2 linked regions of the Nothobranchius furzeri genome follow. The protein of the gene in region 1 purifies or fractionates together with the protein of each later gene. This does not show direct contact. Links are inferred from orthologs where the notes say so. Each region holds a gene or a part of one and is shown in the gene's direction. Other genes may lie near its edges.

Region 1 (3,518 bases):
TTTCTCCGTCCCAGATGAGGACGAATGTCCCCTCCTGGTGTGACAGGATCTTGTGGAAATCGTACCCAGAAACTCACATTGTGTGTAACTCTTACGGTGAGTCAGAGGTCCTTCAAACGGAGCTAGAAGCAGGATTTATGGTTAATATAGCTATTTGTTTACTGCTTGGTGGGTAATTATTTGTCTTATTAAGGGTGCACTGATGACCTCGTGACCAGTGACCATTCCCCTGTGTTTGCTACATTTGAGGTTGGAGTGACATCACAGTTTGTTTCTAAAAAAGGTTCCAGTGACTGTTTCTATTCATAATTTTTCAAAATGATCTGTTATCCACTTTAAAACTTCTTCCTCCATCCCTCCTTCCCACCTCCTGCAGGTCTGCCAAAGTCTTCAGAGCAGGCCTACATCGAGTTTGAGAGCATCGAGGCCATCGTGAAGACGGCCAGCAGGACAAAGTTCTTCATCGAGTTCTACTCTACCTGTCTGGAAGGTGAGACAGACACGTCCTCTCAGCCTCCAAGGCAAACCAAACCAGGAATAATGGCTTAATAATAATAATAATAATAATAATAATAACAGATTGAACTTATATAGCGCTTTTCTAGACACCCAAAGACGCTTTCACACACACTCACATTCACACACTGCTAGTGATGGTAATCTACTTGTAGCCACAGCCGCCCTGGGGAGGTCTGACAGAGGCGAGGCTGCCATTTGGCGCCGTCGGCCCCTCTGACCACCACTAACACAGGCAAGTTGGGTGAAGTGTCTTGCCCAAGGACACAACAGCAGGATACCCCTGGCAGGATCTGGAATTGAACCCATGACCCTCCGATCATGAGGCAACCCGCTCTACCACCTGAGCTACTGCTGCCCCCGGCTTAGACGTGCTTTCTTTACCTCCAAGTGGACGCAATAATCCTGAGTCTGCTCTTTTTGCCTCATCCCACCCTCCCTCCCTCCCTCCCTCCTTCCCTCCCTCCCTCACTTCCTTCCTTCCTTCCTTTGTTCTTCCTTCTTACATCAGACAGTAAGAATCAACATGAATCCATTTTGACCTGTGCTACATGTTAACCTCCTGTCCTTTATGAAATTTTGACTGAAATGTGATTGATACGTCTCCCTCCGCCCCCTTATCCCCTTACCTCCGTACCCCCCCCCCCCCCCCCACTCTTCCCTGCGTTTCTTTATCCCTCTCATTTGAAGAGTTTAAGAAGAGCTACGAGAACGACAGCCAGAACAGCGACAATGTCAACTTCCTCCGTGTGGGCTGGTCCAACAAGCAGCTGACAACTCTCAAGCCCCTCCTCTCAGAGATCGAGTACCTGCAGGACCAGCATCTGCTGCTCACCGTCAAATCAGTGGACGGTTATGAGTCCTACGGTAAAGACTAGGGATGTCCCGATTCAACATTTTTCACTTCCGATACGATACCGATATTGCAGCCTTCGGTATGGACCCATACCGATATCAGCATAACCGATATGATATCAGCCCAAATCATACATGCTTTACGCATTTCGTAGTGTGGAATGTATAAAGGTAGAAAACGAAAGCCAGCAACAGTTCCGGTAAGTATAAAAAACTGACCCATTATTTATTAACCTTTGGTTGCATAAATGTGAACAGCTGAGGTTAGGGACATAAGGAAAGAAACAATATTGTTCACTGACCAACCGCTACAAGTTGTGTGTCAAAAGTTTCAATTTCACACTCTGCAAAAGTCCTCGTGCAATGTTTTGTGATCCTACTTCAAATGAAGCCACGATGAGGTTGGACATATTCATCTTCCCTGGTTCTGTTCCACCACGGGAAACTTGTGCATGACAAGTGTTGCACTGAGCCACACTGTCTTTTTCGGACATTAACGAAAAATACAGCCACATGGCCGACATTGTTCCTTGCTACTTTGCTAGCACACACTGTTCTGATCATGTGGACTTTGCATGCTGGATCTGAGCGCTGCTGGATAGAATTGTGGGAATGGAATTTAAAGCTGAACGTACGTACTGCTGATATCGGAGGTTTGTGATGCTGTCCCATATAAACCTGTACAGTGTTTCTGGGCTGATATCAATAGTAGAACGGGACATCCCTAGTAGACAGACTCTGTCTGCCAGTGAGTAGTCTTTTGTTTTTTTTTGTCGTCTGACCTCTACTCTCGTGTGTTTTTCTGTTAGGAGAGTGTGTGTTGGCGCTAAAGTCGATGATCGGCAGCACAGCCCAGCAGTTCCACACTTACTTGTCCCACCGAGGTGAAGAGACGGGAAATATCCGGGGTTCCATGAGGGTCCGAGTGCCCGCTGAGAGGATGGGAACCAGGGAGAGGCTGTACGGTAAGGCAGCAGTGGGTGTGTGGATGCAGGCAGCTATTAAAAAGCTAAAGTGGTAGCATGGAAAATCGGCTCTAAACTAACGCTGTTTTATAAATGCGCTTCTGTGTGAACGTTATTGACTGATGAGGACTGCTTCCTGAACAGCCTCTATTTGGAGAAGTAGTTATCGTCCTGAAGGACTGATGAGCTAAAAGCTCATTTTGGGGCAGTCAAAACTTTACGGCTAATTTTAAGAGATTGAAACTTTTTTGTGGTGTTTTGTCTAAAACCGCTCGCGTAGTAATTTATAACCTTTATGAAGAAACTAAAAACAAAACGGCCAAAAGACCGTTTAAGAATCTTAACAGTGTTTTATTGTATTTCAGAGTGGATCAGCGTGGACAACGATGAGACTGGAGGACCCAAAGGGAAATCCACCATGGTGTCCAGAGTGGGACACGATTATGTCAAGTCAGTTCAGTTCAGTGTAGCGGTTCGTTTTACTGGTGTGTGTTTGTCCACCGCCCGCTGGCAGAAACAGACTCATCACATCTGGTCCACATCGGTTCTTATGATCAATGTTTATGACGTAAACATGAAGACGTGGCTCTTTGGGTGCTGGTGCTCAGCTGTGGTGTGAAACTAAACCAGGCTGAGATGACCAGCTGTTGGTGATCACAGAAGAGTCCGACAGCACAAACCACACGCTCAGACCCAGCAACTGAAGTCTTGATCTCTCCTATCATCGTTGATCCCTTTTGGTGTATATCATAGAAAAAATGTGTTAACTTTAATTATTCTGCTTCATATTTCACGATTACTGATTAAGCATAACATCTTTATGATGATTTTCTTCAACGATCTGCTCACATTTTGCACACACCACGTTTCCTGGAGGTGCTTCGTTGTTTAGGGTAAACGGTTTTTCTCTAAAGGGTAAAATGGTTTTTATTGTTCATCTGGTCTGAAAAAGGCGCCGTCGCCTATCGGAGTGGGATTGTTCCAACCACAGAGTTCAAGTTTCAGATGAGTCAGAATTGAAGAGACTAAAGAAAACACGTTCAAGAATCAAAGATTTATGATTTTACTTATTTTTATTTTATTTATTTATCTCAAACCATCGAAAACACCAAATTGCATATGCACTCCCCCATATTCCTGGTGCATAAAAAATTTTAAAAATGTGGAATACGATTAACATAT
Region 2 (3,518 bases), on another chromosome or scaffold:
GGCCTTCTGCTTTCTTTTTGCTCTGTACTTTGTAACTCATGGTTTGTACGTTTGTGCTTTTTGCAGCCCGCCCCTCGCGGTTTGATGTCCATCTTGGGAAAGAGTAACTTGCAGTTTGCGGGCATGACAATCAACCTCACCATCTCGACCAGCAGCCTCAATCTGCTGGCTTCTGACTGCAAAGAGGTTAGACGGAAAGCCGTTTGTTGGAGACTCTGCTGTTTTCTGAAGAGATCTCTGAGCTGATGTGTTCCTGAAGGTCGTGAGTCAGAGATTCACCTGATTTTATGAGTTTTCTGCTCTAGCTTGAGTAGAGTAGAGTTTCATGTGGTTCCACAGAGGTTGGTAACCTAAACTTGGACTGTGAACACATTAATAGCCAATAAAACCAATCAGGAGGACGTAAAGCGGGGGTAGGCCGATGAGACGTTATATTTTTCTTGCTTGAAACACTTTTCCTACACTCTTACCGATGACAACTGCTAAATCAATTTTTTGTTAAAAAATTTTTGAAATATTTAATTGCTTCTGAAACCCTGGAAAACCTCATCCATTCATGGTGAACGTTTTGGATATTAATGACTGAGCAGGGCTTCCTGGTGTAACCGACGGAACGTTGCTTTTCCTTTTGAAGTCTGGTTCTGTTGCTGCTGGGAAACATTTCAGAGACGGACTTACTGTCTGGGAACGAAGCCTGTCCTCTGTCGGCTGGTGGAGCCATCAGTCAGTTGCCTTGGCAACGCTCGTGTGACGGGAGGCTCGGGTTGGGTTGTGGACCGGTTGTTTGTGGGGTTTTCCCCAGACTGTTGGTGGTACCGAGCTTTGTGATGTTGAAGTTAATAAAAAACCACGAAAGCTAAAAGTCGTCTCGTTTTTCATCAAAACAACGCCTCGCTGTGATAGCTAGCATGTTAAGTTGTTATGCGGTTACTTAGGTGTGTTGTGTTAGGAGTTATGGCACTGAAGGTGCCAACAACGGGTCGAAAACACAAATCAGGAACAAGGATTTCACGTTTCTGTATACTGAAGGTGTGGCTTAAGGGGGGAAAGGGGGTTGGTTGGACCTTCCAGTTGTGAATTTTCAGAAAGTAGTTAGCTTGATCAAGAAAAGCATCTCCTGTCCCACTTATAGGTTCATGCTACACCTCATACCATCTTCAGCTCGTTCGGACCACAGCCGGCACAAAAATGGCTCCAACCTCCAAAACTGTGGCTTTATTTGTTAAAAGTTTAGCGTTCTGGGACTTTCCGACTTCGATAGCTAAACGGTTCTGATCTCTATCCCAGCTGAATGCTTTGATGAGAACAGGTCATTTAGTGAAACCCAGATTAACCCGAGTCATCCCACTTGGTTTGCTCTTAATGCAACACAAACTCCTCCTGACTGACCGTGGTATTTGGAGCTGGCACCCGACAGGATGCGATTCTCTCCTCGGGCCCCTAATGAGCTAATAGCCGCTGAGTGGTGCCTATCTTTGGGATGGCGGTATGTTGGTGTGGAGCATTAACACACAGAATGAGCATGTTGTAGAGCACGCGTCCACAGATGAGGAAGCAGACACAAACCACTCTGTTGAGCATCATCCACCCTTAATGCCGTTATTGATTCAGCACGGGTGGCTGTTGCAGACGGGTAAAAAGGTGCTCCATCCGAGCAGCAGCTTTCTCCGTAACGATCCCAGACTCCGCTCTCCATCCACACACTTTTATTTCACTTCCCACAGACTTCCTCACATCCATTCTCTCTTCTCATTCTGCCTTATTGTTATTTTTCTCTGCAGATTATCGCCAATCATCACATGCAGTCCATCTCCTTTGCTTCAGGAGGAGACCCAGTGAGTCCCCCCCCCCCCTCTTTCTTTCAGCTCAAATCTCACTCTGGCCTTTCTTCAAGTGGCATGTTCTTCCTTCCTGTCTGAGTTCCACTTGCTCTGCTGCTGCCTCACTGGCCTCCATCGCATCACTTCCTGCTGCTGTTTTCCAACTCGCATTCAAAACTTGTTATGACTAAAGCTTCGGTGTTGTCTCTTTTCCCGTGTTTCTTCTCCTTCTCAGTCCTTTCAATCTCAAACCTGGCCTTCACTTTTTCCTTGTATTGATTTTTCCCTCTCTGCTCCTCCTCTAACCGCACTCCCCCGTCTCGCTCCCACAGGATACAGCTGAGTACGTAGCATATGTGGCCAAAGATCCAGTCAACCACAGAGGTGAGCAGCAAAAAAAAATCCAAACATTTCTGCAGAGGTTGGCAGGGGCGCCTCCAGAAAATTTTGGTAGGGGTGGCCAGATGGGGCCAAAGAAATTTTTGGGGTGGCACACCTAATTGGTCCTTGTGGTAACTGGGAGAGTTTAGTCTGTGGAGATGTGCTGCATTGCGCCTTTATTCATTTTTATAAAAGTAACAGTACGTATCCAAAACATTTACTTTAAATTTTACAAACACAAACGTTTTAGAAAAATGCATTTCAGTTTTTTTAAAATGTTACCCCAATTTTTATTAAATTTTTTTAGGTTTATTCACCTGTGTGTTGCTGTGTTCACAAAAAAAAACTACGGTGATAAAAAAAAAAATTTTAATGGTGAGCAGCAGAAACAAATGTATATTTTTTTATTCTGATTATTTCTTTACTCATTAATTATAATATTTTTATTTTGTTTTACAATTATGTCCTGAATAAACAAGATAAATATGGTTTGACTGAACATTAATATGATTTGTTAACACTGGCTTTTCCTGGGGGGGGCAGCAATTTTCTAGGGGTGGCCATGGCCACCCCTGGCCACCCCTTGGGGGCGCCCTTGGAGGTTGGACATGTCAGTTAGAACAAAATCAGAGATTTATTTCGTTTCTGTAGACCTTCATCACATCCTCTCACCCAGGAGTCCGCCGTTTCCTGTGTCGACTTAGAGCAGTTTGGTTAATCAGAACTTCAAATGACATTTTCAGCAAGTACTGTAAATAAATGGGGCACGGTTTTTTCATTGGAACTTAAATGAGTCACATCGTGCTCATGAAAGGCTCATCTGCTTTGGCGTCACAAACCCAGTGAGCAGAGACACGGAGGAGGTTAGGGATGTGAGGATAAACGCACAGATGCAGCCGTGGGCCCACGCACTTCTCAGATTTAGTCTAGATGCATCCGTTTATCTCGGTTTTGCATCAATAACATCGATTAGGTAAAAGGTTTATGAGCAGTTTGAAAAGTAAAAGTTTATTTCTGTGTGTGACGATCGGAGCTCGCATTTATCTCTTGTTCTAGTCTCCAACTCTTCTTCTGATGCCATTCCTGCCGTTTAGCTCTTTTTAACAGGTTTTTTTATATTATGCATCAAAGGTGAGAAACATACAGTATTAGTCGAGTCTTCTGCCCCTATTTCCTGCATTAACCACCGACAGAAAACAGGGACAGGGACACGCTCGAGTCTGAAAACGTCACACTCCTTTAGACAGGAAACCGCAGAGAACGTCTCAGCCAGTAGAAGCTAACCGTTAGCATTAGCAACTCCACCACACAGCAGAA

What was found. Proteins that work in one complex are often made in the same cells at the same time.
Region 2: the proteins of inppl1a (region 1) and shc1 purify together in Homo sapiens (affinity purification with western blotting; 4 studies listed by BioGRID and IntAct, with this or other methods). This does not show direct contact. The link is inferred for Nothobranchius furzeri from reciprocal best matches to the Homo sapiens genes INPPL1 and SHC1.

Annotation. Positions count from the first base shown.
Region 1 is NC_091753.1:34,084,741-34,088,258, reverse strand, and holds part of inppl1a (phosphatidylinositol 3,4,5-trisphosphate 5-phosphatase 2A), read left to right. Parts: intron 1-14; coding exon 15-96; intron 97-193; coding exon 194-283; intron 284-376; coding exon 377-490; intron 491-1,206; coding exon 1,207-1,383; intron 1,384-2,180; coding exon 2,181-2,336; intron 2,337-2,701; coding exon 2,702-2,786; intron 2,787-3,518. UniProt on the Homo sapiens protein: Phosphatidylinositol (PtdIns) phosphatase that specifically hydrolyzes the 5-phosphate of phosphatidylinositol-3,4,5-trisphosphate (PtdIns(3,4,5)P3) to produce PtdIns(3,4)P2, thereby negatively regulating the PI3K (phosphoinositide 3-kinase) pathways.
Region 2 is NC_091745.1:78,668,622-78,672,139, forward strand, and holds part of shc1 (SHC-transforming protein 1), read left to right. Parts: intron 1-66; coding exon 67-186; intron 187-1,781; coding exon 1,782-1,835; intron 1,836-2,152; coding exon 2,153-2,204; intron 2,205-3,518. UniProt on the Homo sapiens protein: Signaling adapter that couples activated growth factor receptors to signaling pathways. Participates in a signaling cascade initiated by activated KIT and KITLG/SCF.